Linked DNA regions of Lonchura striata. The protein of the gene in region 3 purifies or fractionates together with the protein of the main gene of each other region. This does not show direct contact. Links are inferred from orthologs where the notes say so. Each region holds a gene or a part of one and is shown on either strand. Other genes may lie near its edges.

What was found.
Region 1: the proteins of AXIN1 (region 3) and AMER1 purify together in Homo sapiens (affinity purification with mass spectrometry; 4 studies listed by BioGRID and IntAct, with this or other methods). This does not show direct contact. The link is inferred for Lonchura striata from reciprocal best matches to the Homo sapiens genes AXIN1 and AMER1.
Region 2: the proteins of AXIN1 (region 3) and DVL1 purify together in Homo sapiens (affinity purification with western blotting; 3 studies listed by BioGRID). This does not show direct contact. The link is inferred for Lonchura striata from reciprocal best matches to the Homo sapiens genes AXIN1 and DVL1.
Region 4: the proteins of AXIN1 (region 3) and PPP2R5A purify together in Homo sapiens (affinity purification with western blotting; 3 studies listed by BioGRID and IntAct, with this or other methods). This does not show direct contact. The link is inferred for Lonchura striata from reciprocal best matches to the Homo sapiens genes AXIN1 and PPP2R5A.

What each region holds. Positions count from the first base shown.
Region 1 is NC_134616.1:16,024,109-16,031,175, reverse strand, and holds the start of AMER1 (APC membrane recruitment protein 1), read right to left. Parts: upstream 3,015-7,067; 5' UTR 2,945-3,014; intron 853-2,944; 5' UTR 769-852; coding exon 1-768. Other genes in the region: ASB12 (ankyrin repeat and SOCS box protein 12), read right to left, coding at 5,298-5,431, 6,075-6,885. UniProt on the Homo sapiens protein: Regulator of the canonical Wnt signaling pathway.
Region 2 is NC_134626.1:2,221,690-2,228,813, forward strand, and holds the start of DVL1 (segment polarity protein dishevelled homolog DVL-1), read right to left. Parts: upstream 3,009-7,124; 5' UTR 2,911-3,008; coding exon 2,741-2,910; intron 1-2,740. UniProt on the Homo sapiens protein: Participates in Wnt signaling by binding to the cytoplasmic C-terminus of frizzled family members and transducing the Wnt signal to down-stream effectors. Plays a role both in canonical and non-canonical Wnt signaling.
Region 3 is NC_134618.1:4,334,366-4,341,973, forward strand, and holds the start of AXIN1 (axin-1), read right to left. Parts: upstream 3,005-7,608; 5' UTR 2,938-3,004; intron 955-2,937; 5' UTR 861-954; coding exon 1-860. UniProt on the Homo sapiens protein: Component of the beta-catenin destruction complex required for regulating CTNNB1 levels through phosphorylation and ubiquitination, and modulating Wnt-signaling.
Region 4 is NC_134605.1:11,994,701-12,002,356, reverse strand, and holds the start of PPP2R5A (serine/threonine-protein phosphatase 2A 56 kDa regulatory subunit alpha isoform), read left to right. Parts: upstream 1-4,653; 5' UTR 4,654-4,939; intron 4,940-5,174; 5' UTR 5,175-5,250; coding exon 5,251-5,401; intron 5,402-5,486; exon of another isoform or gene 5,487-5,507; intron 5,508-7,656. UniProt on the Homo sapiens protein: The B regulatory subunit might modulate substrate selectivity and catalytic activity, and might also direct the localization of the catalytic enzyme to a particular subcellular compartment.

The DNA.
Region 1 (7,067 bases), on a different chromosome or scaffold from region 3:
TGGAACGTCCCCATTCCCTGGCACGGCCATCGTGCCACCCTCGGAGGTGCCTCCATCAGCTGTGGGGCCCGTGGGCTCCGTGGCCTCACCACAGCTGGAGTCACCCCCCGAGTCCCCTGGGCCAGCTCTGGTCTCAGTGACTGGCCCTGCTCCCCTGCCCTCCACAGCCCCTCGGCTCTCCACTGCCGTTCCAGGAGCATTCCCAGCCTCCTCCGTGTCCCCGTTCCACTCGGGGAGCTCTGTCTTCTCACTCTCGGCAGCCTTGCTCTTCCGGTGGCGCCGGATGCTGTTAAAAAACCCTTTCAGCCCTTTTTTGGGTCTGGGGAAAGAGGGCTTTTTGTCACAGCCCTCGATACTCCCGGGGGGAGAGCCGTCCTGCTGGCCCAAATCCCCCCTGCTGCCGGTGTCCACGGCCAGCTGGGCGCTGCGGGAGCCGGGCAGGGGGCCGGGCTGCCCATCCCTGCTGCCCTCCGAGGGGCTGTCCGGCCCTGTCCCACCGCCCTTGTCACAGGCAGCGCTGCTCAGCCCGTCGTGGGTCTTGCACTTGCTGAGCCCCTTCTTGCCGCGGCCGCCGAAGAAGCTGGGCAGGGTGCAGATGCTGCGCTTGCCCCCGAACAGCTTGAAGGCCGTTTTCCGCAGCTTGCCGGGGGGCGGCTGCTGCGGCTCCGCTGCCACCACGGAGCCGTCGGCGCTGTCGGGAGGGGCGTCGCCGCCCTCCTGCCGCCGCTGCTCCCCTCCGTCCCGCTCCTCCGGGCTGCCCGTTTCCATGGCAGCGGGCGGGCTTGGATCTAGCTGGAGGCGGCTTTGGCAGCGCGGTGCTCCGGGCGCAGGGATGGACACATCACCGCCGACCTGAGGCACAGGGAGAGGGCACAGGTGAGGACACGGCAGCGGAAGGGGCACGGCTGAAGGCACCGGAGTCTCGGGGCTCCCTCACCGGCTGGAGGAGCCTCCAAAATCTCCCTCCAATTCCAAAATTCAGGCACCAGAATGTCGCTTAAATGTAGCAGTTAGCCAGAGCAGGAAAACCACACATCTCCCTCGGCTAGAATCCCTAGGGACGAGCAGGTCTGACCCCTGCACCTCCTCGCTCCATGCCCTAAAGCTTCCCAGATTTTTCACCTCCAGGGTGATCAGGTTTGGCTACCTTAAAGTGAGAGCTAGCACCTCCCAAACCACCTCCCAGCTCTCCCAGGCCTCATGCCAGGCTCCAAAGAGCATCCTGAGGGAGGCCAAACCAGGACACAGCCCCCCTACGCACGAGTCTGGGGAAAAACCACTTTACTTACTACCCTGGCTTTTTTAAATAGAAGATTTCAGTTGTTTTTAAAATAATCTGTCCAGCCAGAGAGAATCGCCTTAAAAACACCAACTGTGAATACCCTGATCAGATTATCCCAGAAGCAGAGAGGTAGGTTTGAAATTTGACCCTGGACTGCTGTCATGAACAGCAGAAATAAAACAATTATAATCACGATTCTCTTCCAGAGGTGAGGGTGGAGAAATTAAATGCAATAAAATCCTAATGTGCTCCCAAGCTGTAATGCCCCAGGCTGAGCTCTGACTGACAGGAGGCCAAGGAAACCTTCCCAAAGTGTTTAGCCAAAGATCCCAAATTAAAAATACATCCAAACGATGCTCTCTGCTCCTGCAGCCCCCCAGCAAACCTGCAATTCCAGGTTTATTTTTATTCCTCAGGTCTGGGTTGCTTTGCCTCTATACTGATCTGGCATCGCTGCGCTCAGAACAGCTGGGACTGGATGGGCTTCCAGGTCCCTCCCAACCCATTCCATTCCATGGTTCTGGAATCCTGGGATTGCTGATAACTCCTCACGTTCACCTGTCCCACTGGTGAAGCAGCAGCTGGGGCGTAGCTGGCTGGCACAGCCACCTCCCCAGTGGCAAACTGGGCTTTTCCAGCTCTGCCAGAGCCCACCACAAGTCCTAGGAGCCTCCAAAGCCTCTGCAGAGAGGGGCTGGGAGAAAGGCCTGCACTGGACACGTGTGGGGCTGCTGGAAAATGGGGGTGAAATGACCCCAAACCTGCACCTGGAATGGGGCTGCTGGAAAAGGAATGAAATGACCCCAAACCTACACCTGGAATGGGGCTGATGGAAAAGGAATGAAATTACCCCAAACCTGCACCTGGAATCGGGCTGCTGGAAAATGGGGGTGAAATGACCCCAAACCTGCACCTGGAATGGGGCTGCTAGAAAAGGAATGAAATGACCCCAAACCTGCACCTGGAATGGGGCTGATGGAAAAGGAATGAAATGACCCCAAACCTACACCTGGAATGGGGCTGATGGAGAACAGGAATGAAATGACCCCAAACCTGCACCTAAACTGGGGCTGATGGAAAAGGAATGAAATGACCCCAAAACTGCACCTGGAATGGGGCTGATGGAGAATGGGGGTGAAATGACCCCAAACCTGCACCTAAACTGGGGCTGCTGGAAAACAGCCGGGGAAGGGCACGAGACAGAGCCAGCATTACAGAAATTCCTTTTGGGAATCATTCCTCTCCAGCTCCACGTCAGCACCGCGGCACTGCTGCGGAGGGGAGGCTGGAGTAGGATAAAAAATAGAATAGATAAAAATGAAAGAAAGCGGAAATCAAGTACACCGAGGGCAAAGAGCCACGACCAACAGACCATGAAAGATAAGGTTTAAAAGCAAGAAAAAGCAGCACGGTAACAATGAAACGCAGCGTTCCACCCGCAGAGGAGCCCCTCAGGGACCCCCGCCCCGCACGGGGCCGCTCCCCCGGGCCGGCCCTCCCCGCTCCCCAACTTTCGGGAGGATCCGGGAAAACGCGAGGGGCGGGGAGGGGGTCGGGCCAGGCGGCGGGCGGCGCGGGGAGCGGCGGCCCCGGCCCGTGCCCGTGCCCAGCACTTACCGGCGGCGGCCCCGGCCCCAGACCCGGCCCGTGGCCAGCACTCACCGGCGGCACCGCGGCAGCCCCGGCCCGGCTCCGCTCCCGGCTCCGCTCCCGGCCCCGCTCCCGGCCCCGCTCCCGGTCCAGCCCCGGCCCGGCCCCGGCCGCGCGAGGGGCGCGGGGCCGCGGGTCCGCCCGGCGCGGGCGGCAGGGGCGGCGCCGCGTGACGGCCGGGGCGGGGCCTGGCGGGCGGGGCGCGGTGATTGACAGGGCGCGGCGGCGGAGGGGCGGGGCCTCTGCGTGAGGGAGGGCGCGGTCTCCACACTGGGCCCAGCGGAGCGGGCGGGGTCGCGCTGAGCGCTGGGCGCGCTCCCCGCCGTGTCCCCTCATGGCCGCCCCCGGTGTCCCCCCGGGGCCGGACCCCGGTGTCCCCTCATGGCCGGCCCCGGTGTCCCCTCATGGCCGGCCCCGGTGTCCCCCCGGGGCCGCCCCCGGTGTCCTCCCCGGTGGCCCGGGGCAGTGGGCGTGGCCTCAGGGCGCGCCCCGCCCTGGGGGCGTGGCCCCGTTGGCGGTTGATTGACAGGGGGCGCGGTCACCCCGGCGGGGGCGTGGCCTTGGCGCGGCAGCCGCGGGCCACGCGGGGTCACGGACACGGGGGGATGGCCCGGCCTGGCCTGGCCTGGCCTGGCCTGGCCTGTCTGTGACACCGCGGGGCCAGGGCTGTGACAGTGTGTGACCGGTGACACGGCGTGTTTGCCGTGGGACACCTCCCTGCGCCTGCTGTGTCACCCGCGGGCGTGTCACCCGCGCCACGCCGCTGCCACCCACCCACCGCTGCGCGGCTGCTCACACCCACAGCCCCACAGCCAACTGAGCAGCCCGGTAGGGAAGACCCCTCCCCATTTTTGGGACCCCCAGATCCCAAAAGCCCCTCCAATCTCCACGTGAGGATGACAACAAGGATGCCACGAGTGGGAACCACAGCAGGGCGTGGCAATGTCCCCGCGGGACAGCCTTTCCCAGCTGCCATCTCCTGATGTGCTCCTGAAGGCACCTGCATGGGGACCAGCAGCAGCAATGTCATCATGCCCTGTGGAGCTTTGTCCAGGCTGCTTCCAAGCCCTAATGCTGCCCTTGGGAGAGGCCCCACAGCCTCATTAATTAATAGATGCTGACGAAGAGATCCCACAACCCCTGACACAAGCCCGTAAATCCTGCAGGAAGGTGCCTGTGTTCGGCTCTGAGCCATGGAACATTTCCCTTTGGGATGGATCAGGGCAGGAAGGAATGAACCGTGGGACACCCTTCCAAAGTGCTCCAGAACACCACTGCTGGGTGGACGCTGAGCTGCCAAGGAGCAGCAGCATTGATCCATCAGTTCCTGGCTGTGGGAAGAGCTGGGAAGGCACCTCCAGCCCCACTGGTGAGGGCAATCCCGGTGTCCAGAACGGGAGGGATGGAGGGACACAAAGGTGGTGCTGGGATGCCCCGCTCCAGCCTGGAATTCCCCATGCACAGCCATTCCCTCTTCCCCTCCCAGCCATCCTGGCAGGGCTGCCCGACATGGGATATTTCACCAGACAGGCCACAACAGTTTCATACCAAGAACAGAACTCTTTTAATCCAAACCCCAGCCCTGCCCAGTCACAGAGCACCCTCGGCCACAACAGGAAGCACTTTTGGGGTGAGGAGATGATGTTTAGGGTCAGAGCTGGGGCAGGGAGAGGAGTGGGGCTGCTGGGCTCTGGATGCATCTCCCAGCCCCTCCTGTGCTGCCAGCTGGGAGTGCTGGGCTCTGCCCCCACTGGGGTGGGCACACACGGCCAGGGCCAGCCCCAATCCTGCCCCTCCCACGTGGAGGAGACACTTGGGAACTTCTCTGGGAATTGTGGAATCATGAGGGACCTCAAAGCCCATCCAGTGTCACCCCTGTCATGGCAGGGACACCTCCCACTGTCCCAGGCTGCTCCAGCCCCAGTGTCCAGCCTGGCCTTGGGCACTGCCAGGGATCCAGGGGCAGCCACAGCTGCTCTGGGCACCTGTGCCAGGGCCTGCCCACCCCCACAGGGAAGAATTCTCATTCTCACAGCCAAGAATTCCTCCACGCTCCTTCCCAGCCCCTTCTCCAACCAAAATCAGCTAAAGGTGTAAAATCCCTCAGTAAAGACGGTCTGAGGCAAACCGAGGGGGATCAGATCCTGCTCTGTGCTCTATCCTCTGCTGCAAATCAGGAGCTCAGGTCTCCTGTTCTTCCTCCACCTTCCCTTCTGTTCCCTTCCCACTTTTCCACATGGGCATTGCTTTCTGGAGACACCTCAGCAGCAAAAATGAAATTGTGACCACAAATTCCCAGCGGTTCTGCAGATTTCAGGGATTCACTCCGGGAGGTGGAGCAGGTTTTAATTGGGGCAGGCTGCGATCACAGCTGGTGCTGCAGGTATTTGGCCAGGGCTCTGGGGATCTCCAGCTCTCCAAGGGTGGCCGAGCAGCTGGGCTGCTTCAGGAGACGCCTCATGGCCAGCCGGGACTGGGACAGCAGGGATTTGGGATGAGCTGTGGAAGGAAAATCACATGGTCACCTTCAAGACACGCAACCCTGCCGCCCTCCAACCCAGCATTATCTGAAGGAAAGGGACATGGATTGAGCAAACCAGACAGCATTGGAACAAAATGATCTTTAGGTTCCTTCCAACCCAAACCATTCCATGATCCTATGAAAATTCCATGATCCTGTGAAAACTCAACCTCTGTGCTGGGGCTGGGGCTATGGACTCAGGCACAAGCTCCCACGAGGGCTGGGCATGGAGAAGAAATCTCCCATCCCCACATGGAAATAAGTGCAGGATTTTAGACTTGGGCAGTACAGGAGAGCCCAAGCTGAGCAGCAAAAAGAAGAGCAAGGGTGAAAAGCAGGGGGTAACCCAAGTGAGGGGAAACCCAGGCTGTGGGAACCACGGAATCACAGAAGGGCTTTGGTTGGGAAGGGAATTTAAGCTCATCTCATTCCGTGGGCAGGAATTCCACTACCCCAGGTTGCTCCAAGCCCTGTCCAACCTGGCCTTGGACACATCAGGGATCCAGGGGCAGCCACAGACCCGCACAGCCGAGGCTGAAGGAAAACCCGCGTGTGGCTGTTGGGAAGAGGGAATCAGAGCAAAGCCGTGCCCGTCCAGCCCCGGGCACGTGGCCAGGTCACCTCTGGCCTGCAGCAGCAGCTCCAGCCCCTCGCTGCGCGGGGCCGCCCCGCCGGCGGGCACGCCGGGCAGGTACACGTTGGCCCCGAAGTCGATGAGCAGGCGGACGAAGTCGCTGTGGCAGCCGTGCCTCAGGCACGTCTCCAGCAAGGTCTTGGGCTCGCGGATCTGCGCCAGGACGCTCTGCTCGGTGCAGTTGTAGTCGGGGTCGGCGCCGTGCAGCAGCAGCAGGCGGAAGCACTCCAGGTGCCCGTAGGCCGCCGCCAGGTACAGCGGCCCCGAGCAGGCCGCCGAGTTGGCCGCCCACTCGGGCAGCCTGGCCCGGACGTTGGCCTCGGCGCCGTGCTCCAGCAGCAGCCGCAGGATGGCCGCGTGGCCGTCCCTGGCTGCCAGCAGCAGCGGCGAGCAGTTGTTGTAGGCGCTGCCCGCGGGGCTGGCGCCGGCCTCCAGCAGCAGCCGCACGCACTCGCCGTGCCCGTTGCTGACGGCCACGAAGAGCGGGGTCTGCGCCTTCACGTCCAGGCTGTCCACCTGGGCGCCGTGGGCCAGCAGCAGCCGCAGGCTCCGCACGCAGCCCCGCGTGGCCGCCAGGCGCAGGGGGGTGCTGGGCACACCCCAGCCGCTCCTGCGGTTGATGAGCCTCTTGTACCTGTCCTGGGACAGGAGCCTGGCCAACGTTTCGTGGTCGTCCTGGCACACCGCCCGGCTCAGCTCCTCGCTGTCGCCGCTGTCCTCCTCGTCATCCCTGGGCTGCAGCAGGGAGAACATCTTGTTGATGTCCATCAGGGTCGTTTTGTCGGGTCTGGGCTCCATGTGCCGCTCTCATGGTAAAGGGTGAGGCCAAAGATCTACAGGATGGCAGAACCAGCACCACCCCTGGGTTAGAACCAGTCCCTGACACCGACAGCTGCATTTTAGTGCAAGTTTATACTCAACATCAGGAAGATTCTCTAAAAATTCGACAATGTTTGATGAGGATGCTGCTGATGTGCTCA
Region 2 (7,124 bases), on a different chromosome or scaffold from region 3:
CCAGCTCAGAATACTTCATGACTCTACACAAAGTCAGTTTGCAGATGAGATGATGAAAATAAAGCCCACATTTGCTATTAACACTCAAATTCAGCTGAATTCACTTCTAATTTCCCCAAATATTTCAGGTTCAGAGAGGCACAAACACAAAAGGAACAAGACATAGAAAATAATAAATGCAAACAAAGCTCAGGAGTCGCAGGTCAGAGTCACTCTGAGCTGTCTCAAGGCCATGGATTTGTCACCCAAATGCTGTTGATTCAATAACAGAGACAGAATTTCCAGGTCTTGATCCCTGCAGCCCTTCATCTTCCATCATCACCTCCATTTCCAAGAATAACAGAAGTTTCACCCAGATTTTCAGGCTAGTAAGAAAATCTACTCTAGGGTTTGTTACAAACTCTGCTTCCTGGTCAAAGACCAAAACATCCCTGTGTGTTCAAGATGCCTCAGCACAGTTTATATTTCCTAATCCTAAATTTCTGTGGCACTGGGAATGATGCAGATGCTGCCTGAACAATCCCAGCCTCCTTCAGTGAAATCAAACCACAAACACAACTTGAATTTCTACGACAGCAACATGTCCCTGTCACCCGGGGAGGTGAAGGAGGAAAATTTACCATTTTTTAATTTACCATTTAGCAATAATTCCATTTATTTTGAAAACAAACATCTTGTGCTGTTGTTTCCCCCCCTCCAAAAAAAAAAAATGTTTGCACAAGTGAGAAAAACAAGAAGTCAATCCACGAACACTCCTGTGGTTAGAAGCCAACACTAACAACTCGCCACATCAGAAATCCGTGTCAACAAACAACATCCACATTCCACCAGGGATAAAAACCCAATCAGCATGAAAGGTTTGAGTCTCAGGGATAAGAAAGAGGCTGCACAACACATCCACGGATGCTTGGGGTGATCCATCTCACCAAACATAAAACCTGCACCTCAACACGGTGCTGTTTTGGAGTCAGGTCTGCACGAGTTTCCCACAAACCTGTTCCATTTTTATTTTATTTTTTTTTTATTCCTGGCAAGGCATTTAACTGTGCAAAATTGCCTTGCCAGCGACAGATGTGAGTACAAAGAGAAGCGATTTGCTACGAAAGGATTAATACATTTTGAAAGTTACTGTCTGGCAAACTGTCAGAGGGACTTTTATTGGTTTATTTAATTCTGGCTGTCGTTAAGCCCGGTGGCACGCAAGCAGGGAGCGGAACGATGGCAAACGCCCCCGGCTCTGGTCACCCAGCTGCCTCTGGCCACCACAGAGGTCATTTCAAAGTCCAGCCCTGCTCTCCTGCAGCACCCCCAGCTCAGCATGTGCCCTCGGAAGCGGGCATTTGGCCACTGACCATCTGTCACCCCTTTGGCCACTGACCGTCCCAGCTGCTGGCCCAGCACAGCCCACGGAGCTGTTTGACCACCAAGTGCTTGTCACCTGCTCAAACAGGGACTGTGTGACACCGTTTGACCACTGACCACCTGAGACATGTCTGACCACCGACCACTTCACAGCCGTTTGACCAGGGACGGTGACACCCAGGGGATGTGACAGTCGCTATCTGAGTGCAGCCCCTGCACCTGCCTGACCACTGACCACTCGTCTGACCACCAACATCTGACACTCATTTGATCACTGACCATCCCACACCCGTTTGACCTGGGATTGTCTGACCTCGAGGATTTGACAGCTGCAGTCTGAGCACAGCCCCTGGCACCGTTTGACCCCGGCCACTTGTCACCCATTTGACCACTGACCATTTCACACCCGCTTGGCCACTGGCCATTCCATTTAACCATTGACCATTCCACAACCTTTTGAGCACTGAGCCCTTGTCCCCCATTTGACATTCATTTGACCACCAAGCACTGGTCCCCGTTTGACCATTTATTTGACCACCAAGCACTTACCACCCATTTGACCACTCGTCCCCCATTTAACCACTGACCATTTCACACCTGTTTGACCACTGACCACTCATCCCCCATTTAACCACTATTTCACGTTCGTTTGACCACTGGTCCCCCATTTAACCACTGACCATTTCACACCCGTTTGACCACTGACCACTCATCCCCCATTTAACCACTGACCATTTCACGCCCGTTTGACCACTGACCACTATTCCCCCATTTAACCACTGACCATTTCACACCCGTTTGACCACTGACCACTATTCCCCCATTTAACCACTGACCATTTCACGCCCGTTTGACCACTGACCACTATTCCCCCATTTAACCACTGACCATTTCACGCCCGTTTGACCACTGACCACTATTCCCCCATTTAACCACTGACCATTTCTCACCGGTTCAGCCAGGACCGCCTGTCACCCGTCCCGCCCCCAGCTTTGCCAGCCGCGCTGCCCGCGGACAGTCGCCGCTCGCCCCGGGCCGGCGCCCCGCGGCCGCCGGGCCCGCCCGCCCTGCCGTGCCCGGGCGCTGCCGCGGCCTCCCCGGGCGCGGTGACAGCTGCGCCCGCCCGGCCGGGCCCGGGCCGGGGGCACGGCGGCAGCCGCGGGCGGGCCCGGCCGGGGGCACGGCGGGTCCCGGGCCGCGGTCGCGGCAGCCCCGAGCCCGCGGCGGGGCCGGCCGGGCCGCCCGCCATGTTCGCGGCGCTGCCGGAGCCCGGCGGGGCCGGCCCGGCCGAGCCCGGCAGGTGCCCCGGGGATGCTGCGAGCGCCGCCCGGGCCGCGGAGCGCAGCCCGCAGCGAGGGCCGGGGGCGCGGCCGCTCACCCGAAATCCTGGTCCATGGACTTGAAGAAGAACTTGTAGCTGTGCACGGGCCGGTTGCTGAGGACATTTTTGAAATCGGCCAGCGTGACTTTCTCCGGCGGCACGGGCAGCTTCACCAGGTACGGCGTCTCCTCCTCGTCGATGTGGTAGATGATCTTGGTCTCCGCCATGGGCGAGCGGCGCGGGGGCGGCCGGGCCGGGCCCGGGCCGGCGCTCGGCGCGGCGGTCGGCCTTGCCCACAGGAAGGCGGCTGGCGGCGGGGCTGGCGCTCCCTGCACTGCTCTCTAGCTGCCCGACCCGGGAACGGCAGCGCGCCCGCCCCGCCCGCATCCTCCGGCCGCGCCGCCGGCCCCGCTGCGCCGCCGCCGCCGCCGCCGCAGCGCTGCCCCGGCCGGGCGGGCGGGCCCGGCCTGAGCGGCAGCGGGGCGGCCCCGGGCAGCGCCCTCCGCCCGCGCCCGCCGCGGCCCCGCACGCCGCCCGCACACCGCCCCTGCCGGCCCGGCGGCGGCACGGCCCGGCCCGCGGCGGCGGAGGGCGCGGAAGGGATGGGGTGGGGTGGGGTGGGAAGGGGGGTAAGGAAAAGGATGGGGTGGGGATAGGGAAAAGCGATGGGAATGGGGAAAGGGGAGAGGATGGGATGGGAAAGAGGATGGGGAAAGGGGAGACGATGGGAATGGGGAAAGAGGAGAGGATGGGATGGGAAAGAGGATGGGGAAAGGGGAGACCGATGGGATGGGAATGGTGATGAGGAGAGGGGAGAGGATGGGATGGGAAAGAGGATGGGGATAGGGAAATGGAAGGGATGGGGAAAGGGGAGAGGATGGGATGGGGATGAGGAGAGGGGTGAGGGTGGGATGGGAAAGGGGATAAGGAAAAGGATGGCGTGGGGATAGGGAAAAGGGATGGGAATGGGGAAAGGGAAGAGGATGGGATGAGAAAGAGAAAGAGGATGGGGATAGGGAAATGGATGGGGTGGGAAAGGGGAGAGGATAGGATGGGAAAAGGAAGGGTTAAGGAAAAGGATGGGATGGGGATAGGGAAAAGGGATTGGGAATGGTGATGAGGAGAGGAGGGGATGAGAAAGAGGATGAGGATAGGGAAAGGGGATGGGAATGGGGAAAGGGAGAGGATGGGATGGGGATAGGGAAGACTATGGGACAGGAAAGGGGAAAAGGATGGGGATGAGGAAAGGAGAGAAGGGGGGTCCATGGTGCTGGTTTGAATCACCAGGAATCACCAATTTAGGGCACCTGAAAGAGTCTTTTTCAAGAGTTATTTATATTTAAATACATTTCTTTCCAAGATAGCCAAGCGTTTCTCACTCTCAGTTTTGCAATTAGGAGAATAACAGAGATTTCTATAAAAATATGAGTTTAGCTTTCTGTCCTACCAGGCTCTGCAAGCACCCTGGAGTGCTCCTGGCATGGGAAGTGCACCACAAATGCATGAGTGGGAAATTTCCCTTTGGTGGGATCATAACTCTGCCATGAGCAATATTTCCTGAGCTCCTGAGCTTTATGGAGTTCTTGCAGCATGAAACTCGGGCAAAACATTAACATTTGGTCCCCTCAGTTGGTACTTAAGGACCTCCTGGGCTCCTCAGGTGCCCTCCCAGAGCCTGAACCTGCTGAGAGCTGTTCTTGCTCCCTGAGCTTCTCTTTCACTTCTGACAGCTGGAAATAATAATTGTCAGCTGATTACCCCACAGCAGAGCCATCAGACTGGCTCTGGGACTCACAAAAAGCTCCCCAGAAAGCACAGAAGAGAGGAGATAACTTCATGCTGCAGTCAAAGCAGCAGCTAATCCAATTAAGGAGAGGACACAGGGAAGCAGGATACACCCCTGGCCCAGCAGGGCTAAAACCTCGTGTCCAGCACAGCTCAGGCCTTAACACTTCAGCAAAAAATAAATAAGAGGCACCAAATCTCCTGCTAACAGTGCTGTGCTCTCTGTGATAGAGGGAATAGTCCTGCAGGGAGCGGAGGGATAAAAGCTGCTCACCCTTTTCTTCATTTTCACAGCAGTTACCACACAGGGAATAAGCAATCCCTTTAAAAAAGCTATTTTTTAAAAGCCTTCCAGAATTACAGCAATGCCTGTTGCTTGTCTCAGAGCTCTTCCCATTCTGGGTGCTCAGCAGAGCTTCTGACCTAAACTACTGCCCCAAGATGTTCTTGGTTTAGGCACTTCTAAATTTTTACTGGAGAATCTCTAAAACAATTCTTGAACACATTACCTTAATATTCCATGGGGAAATAACTGAACCCTCTGGTCTTGGGCAAAAATTTGGCCAATATTTCACAAAATAAGGGTGTGAAAAGATGGGACAAAAGGGAAAACAAAGCTCTGAGCACCTGCCTAGAGGTGTCCCGGGTGGTTTTCACATCAAGGATTTCTCTGTAAAGTAACAAAATTTCACTTTGAGGATTGTTGGCAAGATTGGGATAGATGCAGAAGATGAACTAAAGATGGAAATTATCCCAGAACAGAATGAGAAGCAGAGAAAATTTCAACTTCTCCTGGATCTGGTCTGCAAGATCTGCAAGGTTTTATCCTTTTTTATTCTCCCTGTGTGTGCAGTGGACCTTGGGCAGTCACTGACAGGGAAATGGAGACATTAAACACTAGAGGGAAGCAAAAGACTTTGCAGTAACCTCTGCAAAGCTCCCCGGGGCTTAAATGTAATCAACATTTATTTGTGTTTTAGGTCCCCTGGACCTTTTATATCTAAACCTTTTAGATAGAAAAGATTGATGTTTAAATATACAAAAAGTTTAAGGTATACAAGTAAGAGTTTAGATTGCAGAACTGTAGGTTTGCCTTCATAACATGATTGGCTAAGAAAGCTCACACTGTAAGTCCATAAGATGAAATATTTAAGGATTGGGTCAAAAACATAAATATCCTTGTTGGCAATGTTTTATCCTTAAAATGTCTTATAACTAAGGGTCTTGTGACCCTCTGAGCCATTCAGTGAGGATGTGAGCTGAACTCACCCTTCCTGCCTGTGTAGAAGAAAAATAAATCTTGGGATCAAAACCAACTCAAAGATCTCTAATTCCTTCCAAAATCCCCCCCAGAAGTGAATTATCCCAATATCCTGCCTTGATCCTTGCAATCCTTGTCCCTGCAGGGTGCAGGAGCTTTTTCCATCAGTGTCCCTGGGAGAACTCTGCTCTGCCAGCTGGGGAAGTGCTCAGGGGCTGGAAGTGCTGCAGGAGCAGAATGTGCAGCAGGAACTTTGCAAGGTGTTAGTCCTGCAAGGAAAAGAGGAATTTGGGCTGGCAGGGAGATGTAAATTCCAGCAGGAAATGTTATCTTCCCTTCTGGACCTACCAAATGAAATCCTCTGGAAGGGCTGCCAGCCTTCCTCTCTGCTGGATGCTTTGAGCTCCATCTCCAGCTGCAGATTTGTTCCTTATACAACATTTCTGGAGAGCTGAAATTCCTCTGGGGGCCCCATGACCCTGTCAAATAATGATGTCTCAGGTGGAAATTTTATCGGAATCTCTGGAATAATTTACTGGATCCAATCTGCACTTTGTCAGGCACTTTGGGATGCTCTGAGATGAAACAATCCTGCACAGTTATTGGGAAGAATTATCTAATGCTGGCTGAGAGAACACCTCCAAAAGGGCAAGAAATAAAATCAGCCTGAGCTGGAAAGTCCATTTTATTCTCCTTTATTTCTTAAATGTTTGGAGAGTTCTACCAATGGTAAAAAATAAGCAACAATAATAATGAGAATTAATTTTGTTACAACAAAGGAAAGAACAAGATTTATGGAGGAAGTTCTTAGTCTGGAGAGTGTTCACAGAGCTGAAAAGAGGGTTTTAGTTGTAGTCTCAATTTTAACCCCTTTTAAGGTCACTGCCAAGCACCATTTCCTTATCCCACACCAAGAGCTCACAGTCCATTTATTACCCTAAATAACTTTGATTTCTCTGCCCTCATCGAGGCAAAGTTCTCACTGAGGGTAACTGCTGTACAAATACTGGGGAAGATGATTATTATTATTAATATTATTATTTTAACTAATTAAATATAAAATCTATGTCTCAGGAAACCAGGGAGACTGTGATGGGGAAAGAAGGTAAAGAAGTTTATCAAAGTGCAGCAATTCATTGGCACAGAGAGAAAATTACATTGAATAACCCAGGCCAAGTGCTATACACACATCAAACAAGTGTTCCTCCACAAGAGGCAAGTCCCAGATTGGGGAGAGAAAAGGACAGGGAAAACCAAATTGTTTGGGAAGAAGGAGCAGTGCTCCTGCCCAGCCCAGGGGGGAATTCCATGTGGAACCCTCTCATTTCCACAGATTTCCCAGCAGTGCCACAGACTGAGAATGCAGGATTCTCACCAGGATTTCAGGCAAACAGC
Region 3 (7,608 bases):
CTGTAGCGCCGGGCTGAGGCCGCGCGCTGCGTGGCCGTCTCCAGGAGCAGCTTCTGCGTGAGCCTGCTGGAAGGCGCCGAGTCCCTGCTGGCCTCGGGCTCGGCCTCTTGGTCACACTTCCACTCCTCATCCTCGTTCAGAGTTGGCAGATAACCAGGTAGCCCTTTACCTGTCCCAGACCCTGAGCTCGGATCGCTGTAAATTTTTGGGCTTTCCCCACCTGTCCTTGTGTATTCCAAATAAATATCCGACTTAAGGAACAAAGGGTAGGTATTGTCTTCTATCATGCACTGAATCTCTGTTTGGGCCTGGTCAAACATGTCAGGGTCAATCTGCAGTTTCATGACACAGTCTTTGATGAAGCTTTTTGTGGCCGGTTTGATCTGCCGGGACACAATGCCATTGTTGTCGAGGATGTATTTTTTGTAAATGGCTTTTGCCAGCTTGAGTCTTTTTTCTTCATTAGACACGCATGGCTCCAGCTTCCTGAAGCCACTGCAGGCAAACCAAAAGTCCAACAGATCCGCACAGTCCTCCTGTTTCAGGAAAGTCCTGAAGAGATTGATGCCATCTTGGTCATCCAGCAAGGAGTGCAGTGATTCAGCCCACTTCAGGTAGGGTGGAGTTGGCGAAGCACTCCCCTCGGGCTCGTACCCCAAATCCAAATCGGAGCGCCTCGGTGTTGCCGTGGACGTCTCATTTCTGACCACATCACTTTTACCAGAGTAGAAACCATGGCTAACTGGCCTTGGGTCTGTGGACACGAGCTCCCCCTCCTCACCAGGAACCGGTGGCCTTGGAGCATCTTCAGTGAAGCTTCCTCCGAGGTCCAAGGGGAAGCCTTTCCCCTGGATATTCATTTTTCTGGTCCTTGCTTGCGTGGGAACAGTGGGAGATGAGCGCTAACCTCAAGTCACCAATATCTGTAGCTCCAAGGTAAACAGGTTTGTTTGGCTGAAACAAATAAGGAAAAAATAAGCGAGTATCACTGGAAATAAACGCTCTAAGACAACAAACTAGAGGTTATGCTCTGCACCTTTAATGTACTAACACCTCTTTTTCAACAGGATCAATGGCTTGGTAACTTCTGAGAGCACAGAACTGAGCTCAAATCAGACAGAGGCTAACAAGCACATTTACAGAACATCCCAAAATTTTATATCCAGAATTCAGCATCACTGATACAACTGATGCTATGCTAAAACACCAGCAGATTTCCCAACAACGGTGGTTTATACATGACCCTGGTATGTGGCAGCCCACATCCAAAAGATCCATACTCAGGTACTACAGGACACATGCCACCTTCTGCACTGCCACCAGCTCTTCTGCACTGCCTACCTGGACAGGACGTATACCAGATCACACTAAGGCAACATGTTTTTATCTGGCTATGGATCTAGGAAATTCTTACCCTTAAACAGGAATTTAAGGCTTGTGAAAATTATTATTAAAAAACATCCAGTTAGTCCTGAAAGCAGGGCTGCACCTTAATCAAACACAGGTGGCTTTCGTAGCTCAAGTGACATACCAGCGCCACATTCCTCACAAATCTCTGCGTTTCAGAAATAAGCCGCGTCGCCTCGTCTAGCTCTAGGGGAATCCAGATGCATCGTTGACCCTAATATTTTGGGCATCTGGACTGCATTCTTGCTTCAGATGGGCATGTTAGTACAGGAGCTCAGTTCTAGCACTGCTTTTTGTAGGCAAGCCGTTGAGAAAAGGTTCATTTACGCTAAGAGAATTGCATGCTACGAGCCTGGGAAAATTTCAGGTCACCAAAGGAAGATGAGAAAACCACCTTGACAAGGAAACCTGATCAAGTACGGTGTTTTTAAAGAAGAGCAATGAGTCAATATGGAGGATGGAAGGCATGGGGAAGGCAGGGAAGGAAGAAAAGGGCAATCCCTGGGTTGCTACTTCTGCTGCTCAACAAATTAACCTCATCGTTTAAAGCAAGTAGCAAAAGCCCTGTGTTAACAGAACAGCCTCAGCCTCTAAGCCCCAAGTACTGCAGAGCACCAGCAGCCTCATAAATTACTCCTTGCACTGGGTTAACTCAATTGCACGTAAAAACACAGCAAGAAAGACACATTTTAGCTCGCCCTCCCTCTCAAAACAAACCCCACAACAACGAACATCTTTGGGACGCTTTACCATTGACCCCCCATTTCCTGATCCTGGCTAAACCAAGAACCGCCGCCGATGCCGTGCCTGTCCTTACAGCCCACCTGTGCATCGTGAAACAACCCAGCGAGCCCAGGAGCGGCCAGCGAGGGTGGCGGGGCCCCGCGAGGAGCGCGGCAGGAGCCAGCGCCGCGCTCACGCCCGGCCCGAGCCCCCGGCACGCAGCCCCTGTCCCGGCACCGCGGGACGAGGCTGGGCTTTGGCACCACGGGGCGGTTCTGGGTGGTTTTCACCCCGCTCCTGGAAAGCGAGAGCGGGACTCGCCCCCCGTGTGCGGTGCAGGTCCTCGGTGACCCCCGGCCGGGTGAAGGGGACGCCCGGGGCAGCGGCACCGCAGCCCCAAAGCCACGCCGGGCATTGTTGCGGCGGGGCGGCGCTGGCTCCTCGCCCCGGCCGGGGCAGCCCCAGGAAGCTCCCGGAGGACACGCGAGGCGCCCGGCCGAGCCGCCCGGCCGGCTCCGGAGGGGACCCGCGGCGGGCGCGGGGCCGGGTGGGCTCCGGGGCGGCCCCGCCGCTGACAGGGCACCGCGCGGGGCCCCCGCCGCCCCCCGGGCAACTTCGCGGGACCCGGCCCGCGCCGCCCCCCCGCCGCCGCCCCCGGCCCCGCTCCCCTCCCGGCCCGCCCGGCCTCCCCCCGCGCCCGGGGCGGCCTAGCCCGGCTCGGCGGCCCCGGCGCGGCCCCGCGCTCCCGCCCGCGGCGGCCTCGGCGCGGCCTCGGCGCAGGGCCTGGGCCGGGGCCGCCTCACTCACCCGCGCGGAGCGGCGGCGGCGGCCCGGGGCGGCGCGGGGCCCGGCCCATGCGGCTCAGCGGCGGCGGCGGCCCGGAGGGGCAGCGGCGGCACAAAGCGGGCGGCCCGGGACGCCCATGGCCGCGGCCGCAGGCGGCTGGCGGCGGCGGGGAGCGAGAGCAGCAGCAGCAGCAGCAGCAGCGAGCCGAGCCCCGCTCCGCTCCGCTCCGCCTGCGCCGCTGCCTCCCAGCCCGGCACGGCGGCTCAGCCGCGCCCCCCGCGCCCCCGCCCGGTACTGCGGGACCGGGACGGAGCGGGGCGGAGCGGGCCCGGCCCGGCCCGGCCCGGGGAGGCGGCGCGGCCGCACGCGGGCCCGGCGCGGCCGCAGGCCCCGCACCCGCTGCGGGGCCGGCCCGGGAAGCGCGGGGGTGCCGGCTGGGGGAGGCACCGAGCCCCGGGAGCCGCAGCACGCTGCCGAGCGCACGGGCTGAGCTCCCCGGACAGCTCCGGCACATGGCCGAGGCTTCGGGCTCGGCTTCCCGCAGAGCCCCGGCTGGGCAGGCGCCTCAGGGGCTGAGAGGCTCCAGGGCTTCGTCCGGCCCTGGATGAGGGCAGCCCGTGAGCATCCCGGGCAGAGACGGCCCAGAGAAACTTGGGAGACCTCCGGGGTCTCGTGGAAGGGCTCTGCCCAGGGAAGGCATCAACCCTCAAACACCACCAGGCTCCACGGTGCTGTCCGCGTTGAACACCATGACACACCCGAGTTTTGTCACTTTTGGACCACGCACCGTGGGCCTGGGGATGTAGGGGCACCGGTGCACCAGCTGCTCTTGCCTCCAACAACAACTAGAGCTGCTTTGGAACCTGCAGTGTGTGTCCTGCTTCTCTGAGCTGGGCAACTGCCGCTGGGGGAAAGCAGGGGCTGGCCAAGAGGTGGCACTGCATGGACTGGAAGGGTCACACCGCCTGGAGACTCCCAAGGCGATGCTGGGTTCTGTGCAGCAGGGTGCACCAGCTCTGAGGCTGCAGTGATGGGGACACTGAAGGGAGAAGAAGTGAATTGCCAGATGCAGAGATCAAATGAGAGTAGCGTGACAGGGAAGTGCAAAAGCGTGTCTTCCCTGGAAAGCAGTGATAGACTCCGAGCCAGGCTGAACATACAAACAAGACACTAGACAGTCCTCTGAAAATCAGAAATAACAAAATAGTTTCCAATAGGGACTGTTTCTCCTTTCTTATGTGATGATGCTGCCACAGTTGACTGCCTCAGTGCATTTAGAGAAAACTTTTGGAAATGTAACATTTCTTTTTCCAGTTTTATGAAGTTCCCAAATATCCACTCTGGCAGTGACACTCCCCATCCCACCCCAGCACAGAGTCTGGCAGGATGATGTGGCTCCTTGCAGTCTCTCATGTGAACGATGCTCGGAGCTGATTTACACGTAGCAGTGCAATGCTGATCTCAGGCGTAATAATAGCAAAGCTGATGTGGGATTCAGCTGGTAAAGAATTAAAGGATGGGAATATAATTAATGCAATCAGCCTAGTTTCCAGAAAATAGCTCTTGTCAAACTCTGATGTCATCCTTTGAAGAGATTACAAGTTTGGCTGATAAAGGTTATGGCATAGAAATAAAAGACCTGGGCTCTGTTGAGGCATGTGACTTAATCCATATACTATTCTGATTAAAAATTAGCACAATACAACATCAAGAGGGACACCTTAAAGGGGCTGGGAGCTGGCAAACCGACAGCCATCAATGGGGAATCCCTGCAGAATGGGAGCGCGCTCAGTGGGTGTCCAGGCTTGGATGGGAAGCCCAGTGCTATTCAATGTTTCCATCAATGGTCTAGAAATAGATTAAAAAGCCCTGCTGAGAAAAACGCTGGGGTGAGGGAAATGAGAGGGGCAGGAGACATGGACGAGGTCAAGACAGCTGTAGAAAACTTCACAAGCCGAGTGCCTGGCAAATAAAACGTGCTTGAATGCGAGCAGCTGTGAAAGGGTCTGTCCACTGAACACAGGGCCCTTCTGCTGGAAACCCGGGATCTGGCAAAACCACATCGGGGGGAGTTTAGTGTTTACCACAGTTTAGGAGGCAGGAGGGATAATGTGGGAGCAGCAGGCTCCCCGTGGGGGACGTCCAGCTGGGATGGGGCTGAGTGCTACAGCAGGAGGGTTCCAGCATCTGTGTTTTGGAAAGGATGCTGAGAAATCGGGAGGTGGAGGAGAGTTAAAAATGAGTCCTGCTTTGCAGGGGGGGGGTAGCTGAGGCCTGCAGCCTCCCCAGCAAGTTCAAAGGAGCCCCAGAGGCATCTCCATTATAGCACTTCAGCCACTTCATGGGTGAGAGACGATCAGGTGTTAGAGAGCTTTTCATCTCCCAGAGGAAGGCCCAGCAGGATTCATGGCTTGAACTGAGTTCATTTGAGAAACTAGAGCAAGATTTCTCCGTGGCAGGGGAGAGCCTGAGGTGGTGGGCAACGACTCTGGGTGCAGCAGGATGCAGGTGGTTGAAGTGCTGGGGCTTGACATGTCCTCCCTCATGCTGCCATCCTTCCCTGACCTTCTTTACTGCTCCTTGGGTTGGGCTGAACCTGGGGATGTGGGAGAAGTGCTGAAGGCTCATCTTGCTCCCACCAGCTCCTGGCACATTCCCCCAGCTCAGGGGTCACAGCCCAGAGTGAAGACCAGCCCCCATCCCACCCCCAAGGCACAGAGAGAGGCAGGGGACCTGCAGACAAGCACGTCCCTTCCAGCAGTGCAGGATCACTGTGCATGCTCCCAGGGAAAGCAGAGCCAGCACTGCTCTGCTCCAGCAAAGGCAGCCAGGCAGCTGCCCCTTCCTAGGCCACAAGAAGCAAATTCCACAGATCAATGCCAAGCCCTCACGGTGCCTCATTATTTTCTGGTCTTCTAGCAGGGATGCTTGGGGCTGAGAGAGCCATGGGCTCCCTCTGGAGCCCTTTCCCTGCATTTTACCCCTCAGGTGGCTCATGACAAGGAGGCGTACGTCGGCACTCTACCAGGGGCCAAAATCACTTCCAGATTTATCTGATAACATCAAACAGGTGATAAACCACACTGAGCATTCCTGGCTGTGTGCTGGAGGAATCAGACTGCAGATCTCAGATTTGAAGCCAGTGAACCAAACCTGGTTATTTTTCCCTCTTCATCAGCTGACCACGAAGCTCTGCCTTTCACCCCAAATATCACCCTTACACCAAAGCTGACACCACCGAAAGGTAGTGGTGTTTTGTGTACCCCTGGTGTCACCCTGGCACTGAAGCTGTCCCCATGTGAACCTGGGGTGCTGGACACTTCCCAGCTCCCAATGCACACATTCCTTTCTGCCTGGAAGAAACAAACAGCAAACACTGGAGAAAAGGAGCTGCTCTCAGCCTTTGCTCGGAAGAGTCTGTGCAACATGCAGGCAGCGCTGGTGCAGTGCAATTCCAGAGCCTCCTTGCAAAGGGATGTGTTCTGTAGCAACCTCCCTCCTGCCAAGGCAGGGACTCGCAAGCTCTCCAACATCCCATCTGCAGAGCCTGAAACCGCCTGGATCGGCTTCGGCACTGACTGGAGTCCCCCCAAATGAATTGTGGCTCTCCTAGAGCAAGGTGTGCCCGAGCCGGTGCCGGGGGGATGCCCGGGGGCTGCCAGCGCGCAGCGCTCCCCTCCAGGCAGGGATGTGCGGGGGTGAGCCGGCGTCCCTCTGGCGCTGCCGGATTCGGGAGGCAGTGCACTAGATGGTGCTGTTCAACCTTTGGCTGCCGTTTAAAAGGCTCCTGCAAGGTCATCAGCGATGCCGAAATTCGGTGGTTTTATTCAAAAACCTTTTTGGAACTAAGGGATAAATAGAAATACTCTGAAATATGAGGTCCTACATTGATCACTGACAGAGGCAAAGGGCATGTGCTGCCTCCCACCTCGGGCCTGCAGCACCCTCAGGGTAGTCAAACCTCATCCGGGGTTTGACTATGTGACCAATGATGGCTGAAGAAAAGAATGATTTAAAGAAAAAAAATTATGCCAAGAAAATGATGTCCTGAGTAGCAAGAGGTGACTGACAGCTCTCTCTTGGACCACTGGCAAGATGATGCTTACAGAATAGGAGGAAGAAAATGTATTAGCATTCTAGATAGAAGTATTGGTGTTGTGGCACCAGGAAGTTGGAGTATCCCAAAAAGCCCAGCTGGGATGAGGCACCAACAGCCCAGTAGCACTGCCACTGAGGGGACAAGCAAGCAGAGCCACAGGATATGGCTGGCAGGAGAACAAAGCAGAGAAGTGGCCATGGATGGGGCTGGGGGCTGGATGAGAGCACCTCCCTCACTGGGAGGGATGGATGGAGCAGATCTCAGAGGGGGCAGTGAGGATGCCCACAAACAGCTGTGCCAGGGCTGGGGGCAAGGGTGGAAGTGAGTGCTGATTTCTACCACCACAGCATCCCTTTTTGCAGGGCCTAAAGATATCTGCCCACCCTGGCCATGCCAGCCTGGAAAAGCATCCATGGAGCTTTGGGTGCAGGTCCCACAGGGATCCTGGGTGTGCCTGCTTCTATGGATTCCCCAAGGAGAGAAACACATTGCTTCTAATGCTGGGTAAAAAGGACAAAGCACTGTTTGAATACCAGGTTTATGCCTTTTCACTCAGATCCTCCTCTTTCATAAAGCCCATGGTGGAGCCTGTT
Region 4 (7,656 bases), on a different chromosome or scaffold from region 3:
CTTGTTTCTGTGCTTTGTTAGTGGGAAAGAAAATGTTGTAGGAGAGGGAGAAGTGTTCTAAAGGTTTTATTCTGATTATTATTATTCTTTCTTTTAGTTAATAAAGTTTTCTTTACCCTTTTAAAGTTTTGATCCTGCTTTACCTTCCTCCTAAACCTATCTCACAGCAGGAAAGGAGTAAATCTAGGGGGTACATTGGCATTTGACCAACAGTAAACCCACCACAGACTGTAATGATGTAGTCACAGGTACACTGAAAGGAGTCAAACTCAGGACCCTTACAAACAAAATCTTGCCATCTAACCTCTGAATTCCAATCCCTGAATTTCAAATTCTGCCCTGGGATTAAGGTGACAAATGGCCCTGAGATTACTAATGCTGTATTATTCAAGGATTTGTCAAGCAGAAGACTTGGGAACACTTATGCTTGATATCTACTACACAAGATAGACTACAGAACATATGTATGTAAGCATATAGTTTATCCTGAACTAGGTGGATATCTCACTTGGTTCTACTGGGGCATTAGTCCAAGGAAGTATTTTAATCTAGGACTAAGCCCCTCACATTTGCAGACAGGCTGAGTGAGTTGGAGTTCTTCAGCCTGGAAAAGAGAAGATTCCAGGGAGACATTAGGGTACTTCCTATATCTAAAGGGGGTCTAAAAGAGAGCTGGAGAGGGACTTACTAAAAGGGCATGTAGTGACAGGACAAGGGATAATGGCTTTACTCTGAAAAAGGGTAGATTTAGATCACATATGGGGAAGAAGTTCATCACTGTGAAGAGGGTGAGGCACTGGAACAGGTTACGTGTTGCCCTGATTTATAAAAGTGTTAAGTTTTCTTTTATAGTTCTTTTGAAAGTTTTAAAGTTTTTTTAAAAGTTTTCTATGCCTTCTGATGTTTACATATTTCTACTGGAGTTCTCATACACTGTTCATGTTGATAAAGATTGTTTTGCATTCTTCTTTGTGGGAGGAAAGAATTGATGGACTGGTTGGTTTGACCAGTGTGGTTGGAGAGGTGGCAATTTCATCCTCCAATCCACTGTCGCTTTTGGAATTTCATATATTGCGAGGTCAGAAATAAAATTTGTGCTTTTTTTCCTTTGAACTTACCAAGCTTCTGTGTGCTCGTTTTGTGTCCAATAGCGACAGTTACCCAGAAAAACTGTGGATGCCTTATCCCTGGAAGAGCTCAAGGCCAGGCTGGATGGGGCTTTGGGCAACCTGGTCTAGTGGAAGGTGCCCTTGTCTATAGCAAGGGGTTTGGAACAAGATGATCTTTGAAGTCCCTTCCAACCCAGGACATTCTGTGATTCTGTGAAATACCCTGAAAAACTGCTGGGTTTGTGCAGTAGTAAATATAAGCACAGTTGCAGTCAACAGGGTTTTTCATATTCATTTTGAGAGGGAAATCAAATTTTCTCAACAAACTTTCTTGGCTGAGAGTTCACCCACTTAGGGCATCCTCTTTACTAAAATATTCCTCCCACTGTCTCTGGGAAGAGATAGATTTCTGGCAGCTTGGCCTCCAAGCATCCGTATGGATGAATGGGAAAGCAGAGCTGTAGTTAACTCCTCATCTGCTGGCAGCCAGGCAACTCCCTGCAGCAAAAATCTGGTAGCAACCTGGTACTTGAAGCACCAGATTTGCAAGACAACTTGGCCAGGATTCTGCAAGCTAATGATGCGTCATGTTCTTGTTCACCTTTCCAAAGGTTTCTCTTCTGGGTAAAAAGATGATATGAAAATGCAGGAAATAATCATCTGTGGCTAAATGAAAAGAACCATAAATGCGACTTTCAGTAAAATCTGCTCCAGAATGTTGCTCCTCCGTTCTGAATAATGATAATGAGCCTTCTTCAAAGCTAGAGATATGCGAGAGGTTTTGCAGAATCAAGGCCTCAGTGCATACTGAGGAGCCTGATTTAGGAGTGGGAATAGCTTGGCATAAAATTACTATTCACAACATTCTCTGTGGACACCGCAGACTTCAATGAATTGCATCTGGAGCCAGCAGCTTGTAACCTGGCATCATCCCTGTGTGCCTTTAAATATACTCTGAAAACCAGGGGCTTCAGAAGCTGACTCAGAGCAGCTCTGACAGCTGTGTAGGAAGCAGAAAGCAGGGAAGGGCAAACTCCAGCCCTCTCAAACACAATTATTTCAGACTGCCACTCACAGCTCTTGTTTCATTTTTTGTCTCCAAATACCCCAGTCCAGCAGGCCTGTATGTTCCAATGATTTCACACATTGATGTAATTCCACTGACTTCAAGTGCAACTTAAAGCAAACATTACCATTTCAGTTTAGGAAACTGTAGCTGGTCACCAGAGATGCTGCTCATTCTTTTCTGAAACAGAAGAGTTATATTAAAAAGACAAAAGAAAACTCAATGGCTAGAAGTACTTCTTATTTATTTGAGAGAATAAACGTTTTGTTTTGTGTAGCTGACTCAGATCTCACCAATATTTCTTTTACAAATGATACATGAAGATGCAGTCTGAAAATATCTTTCAGTGCAATCAATATGAAAATCCCATCATTGCAAGGAAGGCTTGGTGTCATGAATTTCAACTGCCAACAGATTTTTTAAAGCACATTTTCAAACAGCACTTCTAAGCCTAAGCAACCTTGGGGAAAACACTTTAAACCGCAGAAAACCAACATTTTTACATTTTACAACTAGAACATGTATCAAGCTTCCTTAACAAATCCTGAAATGCTGATGAACCTCTAAGGTAGACTCTTTTACCCTGGGAATTGGAAGCAAGGCTTGAGTTGCCAATAAACAGTACACAGGACACGCTGGGCAGTGTCAGTTTCTAAAAATGGGTGCAGAAGCAAATGACAGCTGTTGGAGGGCAGGCAGGAACAGAGGAACACACCGATACAGGGGCTTGGCCCCAGTGATCTCTCAATAAGAGCTGTGGGCCTTGAAGTGAAGTGAGAATTAATCATGTAATTAATGCAAGGATTTCCTTTACTGCAATCAATATTGGAGCTGGTAGTTTAAAGGACAAGTACCTAGAGACTGCTATGTTGTCTGTAAAACAGATTTTATAATATAAGGAAATGAAATGAAAAGTCTACAACACCTACAAGATTGATAAAAGTATATTACATTAGTACTCTATAATTTCTAGATATGTTCTATCCAGAATTTAATCTAAAGTGTATAGAAAAGGCTTGTCTCAGCTCAGCTCATAGGGGTTATAGAATATTTTAAACCAGAAAAGACCCACAAGGATCACTGAGTCCAACTCAAGTGAATGGCTCATACTCCCTCTCTCTACTAAAGATTATTTCACCAAAAGCAAAGAAGATGAGCAGTGCACAAGTTAGAGACTGTGTTGACATAGGAAAGGAAAATGAAGAGACAGAAGCAAACAGGGAGATCTGTTTCTACTGAATAGGCTATCACACTCTTAGTCTTTTACATTCATATAAAGCTATAATCATTTGCCTTTTGATTTATGGTTTATATACACAGAGATTAAAGTCCAACTCATGTAATGAAGGCATTTTACAAACATTTACGGTGATCTTATTGTATTTATGCCCTACCACAGCTACCGAAACTTGAGTGTGTGCTTAAAATACTACAAATGCTTATTTGCTATATCGGTATCCAAACCTATGTAGCAAAAAGAAATGCGCTGACGTGCTCAAAACTTAGCGGTACGTGAATGGCCACAAGACACGGCATCCCGCGTGTCCAGCTCCGCACGGGGGCGGGGGAGCCGGGTACGGGAACGGGCCAGCGCAGGTCAGATCCTGATGCAGCCCGCGGCGCACACGCAGCCGTGGCTGTCACCGGCCCGGCTGCAGCCCGAGCCCCGCAGGCGGATCGCGCCCAGCAGCGGGACGGGCTCCCGGCTGCGCATCCAGCCCGGGAAGCTCGGGCAGCGCCGCCTCCAGCCGCTGCCGCGCTGCCAGCCAGGGAAAACACCGCGGCCGCGCCGACCGTCACACACCCGAGCCCAGCGGAGACCAAAGGAGACCTTAAAGCGCTGAGGCGTCGGGAGGGTGGGCGAAGGAACCAAAAATTCGGGAGCAGTGGGGACACGGCACGGAGATACGCTTGGGAGCGCAGCGCGCGCTGCCGCGGCTCCCGGCGCTCCCGGCGCTCCCGGCTCCCGGTCAAACACCCTCTCGGCGGTGTCCCCGTGAGCGGCACCGCCGGGCGCGGGACGCTCGCTGCGCCGCTCCCCCGCCCGCCGCGGGATTGGCCGGAGCGCGCCCCGCCCGCCATCCCGCCCCTTCCCCTTCCCCTTCCCCTTCCCTTTCCCCTTCCCTTTCCCTTTCCCTTTCCCTTCCCCCCGCCGGGAAGCCCCGCCCACCCCGCCTCCCCCGCTCCCGGCTGGAGGAGCCGGCTGTCAATCATCCGGTCCCCGGCGCGCGGCCCAACTCCCGCGTTCTCCCCAGGCCTCCGCGGGCGGAGCGGGGGGCGTTCCGCATTCCTCTCCTTCCATTGGTCGCTCCGGGCCGTCAATCACCCGTCGCCGCCAACCGCTGCCTCTGCCCCCGCCCTCGCCCCGCCCCTCCCTCCTCCCTCCGCTCAACTCCGCTCGCTCCGCCAAGTTGTGCGGCCGCTGCCCGGCGGCTCCGGGGTTGTGGCGGCGCCACGCGCGGCGGCCCCCGGCGGAGCGCGACGAGGCGGGATGACGGCGGAGGCGCGGGGAGCGCCCGGCGGCGGCTGAAGGCGGACAAGGGGCGTGTGGAAGCGAGCGGCTGAAGCCCGGGGGCGAGTTCGGCTGATGACAGCGGGCTCGACTGAAGGGGACGCAGAGCGAGCGAAGCGGGAGCGGGGCAGCGGCGCCGCCGAGCCCGTCCCGCAGCGGGTCGCGCCGCGCCTGCCCTGAGGACAGCGGGACCCCGGGAGGGAAAGTTTGGCGCTCGCCCGCCCCCGCCCCGCCGGGCAAAGTTGTCTTTGGGTTTGTTTGTTTGTTTTCCCTTTCCTCCTCCTCCTCCCCCCTTCCGCTCCCCCGCCGGCTCCGCGCGGGGAGGAAACGGCGAGGGAAGCAGGAACTGAGGAGCGACCCGGGAGCCTCCCCAGCGCCCGGCAGAGCCCGCTCCGCTCCTCTCCTCGTCGGTGCGGTGTGTGAGGGCAGCCAGGACTTCGTTTTTGGTGGTGTTTTTCGTTGTTGGTTTTTTTTTTTTTTTTTTAAGTCCCTTTGTTTTTTGCCCGCCCGCTTCTCCCTCCGGTACAATATATGCTCGTGGAGAGCCGCCCCGCCGCCCAGCCATGTCGGCGGCCATCTCTGCCGCGGAGAAGGTGGATGGCTTCACTCGGAAATCGGTGCGCAAGGCGCAGAGGCAGAAGCGCTCGCAGGGCTCCTCGCAGTTCCGCAGCCAGGGCAGCCCGGTGGAGCTCTCGCCGCTGCCCCAGCTCAAAGGTACGAGCCTGCCCTCCCCTCCGGCTGCAGGTGCCGCTGCCCACACCGCCTGCCCCGCGCCCTCTGCCCTTTAGCCGTGTCCTCCCCTGCCCCCGCTGCTTTCCAGGTAGGGACCCGCGGCAGGAATTGCTCCTCTGCTCGCACCACCCAGCGCCGCTGTCCCGGGCGCCGACTCCGCTAACTCGCCACCCCCCTATTCTGGCTGTTCGCGTGCGTTTTAAGGTCTTACTGAGGAAAATGTAGACGGTAAGTTGAGCTGGGGAGTGCAAGCAATTGAGCGCTAAAACCTGGGAGCGAGCGGTGGCTCCTCCCACGGGGGTTTTGCGGAGAGGAGCTGTGCCCGAGGCGTGACATCCCGAGTTAGCGGAGAGCTCGCCTTGGGCTGCCCCGGCTTTCGCACCGCTCTCGGACGGTGCTGGGACGGCGTTTTGCTGCTCTCCAGGAGTTGCCTCGGAGACTTCCTCCAGCACAGTCTGTGTGGCGACACTCTCACGCGAATGAAAACTCTGGATGAAGCGGAAAATAGACAGTGATGGTTTTATCCGCTGTGCTGGTTCTAAAATTTGAGAAGGCTCAGTTCATTAGGTCATAAAAATGAAGCGAAGTTCATTGCAAACTTCTACATCTTTGACCATCCGAATACGTTTCTGTATATTTTTAAAATTACGAAAGGATATGTTGAGAGAGTATAAAGCTTGTTATTAAAGCATTTATCAGGGACTTGAAAAATAAGGTAGAGCGACTACTTTAACGTGACTTAGCATGTTAATTTTACTTCCACTGGCTTTAAGGTCTTAAGGCTTTTGAAGCTGCATCATGTGATGGTGGAAAAAAAAAAATCTGATTTGCAGTGAATATCCAAAATCTGAATGAGATATAGTAAACATAAAAATATTCATAGGTACTAAGTTTGGATTTTTTTTTCAGTTTGATTTTTATGGCACTTACAGTCATGTCTAATATTTCAGGGCTGTCACGTTTTTTCTGCTCTTTGAGTGACAGATGTACATGAATCATAAATCTGGCTCTTAGCAGAAATGTTATTGACTAGAAATAAGCTTAGGCAAGGGAGTAACAAGGGCAGGGTTGTTTGGTTTTAAAATGTTTGTTGCAGTCGGTTTGGGTGTTAGTTTTAACAGCAACAGCAGGATTGTTCTTGCTCCTTGTTATGGGCTTTCCTTCCTCTATGAAGTTGTGTCCTGTCTTGGTCCGCTACTTTGATTTGAGGGATATATAACCTGGATATTTTGTTTGAAACTAAGATTCAGTTTCTGCTGTTTCCATGCAGTTTAGACAATACATTTTCCTCAGAGCTGAATTTGAGAAACCACACTTGGGACTTTGTAAAGGCCCTTGGTAAATACTGCATATAGGTGGCAGACTTCAGAAAGTTTGAGTCCTGGTCCAGCAAACAGTTAAACATACGTGTGTTATGCAGGGAGCAATTCCAGCTTCAATCAGCAAAATGTCCAAGTTTACATTCTTTGCTGAGCTGGGACTTTAATATTAAATTTTTAACTCTGCATTATTAAGTCTTGTAGTTTTTTGAGTGTGGTTTTATAACTTTTTATTTGTAATACAGAAAAATTTTGCATGCCATCAGCAGCTCACATGTTTGGAAATTTGAAGCCATAAACCAGCAAAGGAATTTCTTCAGTTATGCAGGGTTTTATAGTAGTTTGAATCGCCTTATTGCCTTAAGTTCTTAAAGGAAAATCCCTTCAGTCTTTATGCTTATGATTCAGATGTGAAGTCTTGCCTTGGAGACCTGCTTCAGAACAGAAATTGTGGGCAAAATATACTTTTATGAGCTGTAGTGTCCCAAGTAGGCAGTTTGCAGAAAGTCAAACAGCACTCCTTTTGCTTGCATTTTTCCCTTAGGTTTGTGATGTTAGATTTGTCCCGTAGCTGTGGACATGGGATAGTTTCTTTTCATAATGCTCCCTCTCTCCTTTTTCCTTTTAAACCTTCCTTGCCTCTGAAGCCAGAAAAGGTTCTAAAAAGAGTTTGCTCTCTCTGCAAATGGATCGTTTTATAAAACTATTTGTTCTAATCGCTTGTGTCTTGGGAAGATAAATCTTTGCTTTATTTGTTAAAGTTAGTATGGAATTTAGCAATAGTCTTGATGCTGCTAGTGTAATATCATCTACAGACTCATGAGCCAGAATTTACAGGGATGGGCTGGAAAAGGAAAGTACAGTCATTATAATGATGCCTGCGGGTGCTCAGCATACACTTAGTAATTAGAATAAGTT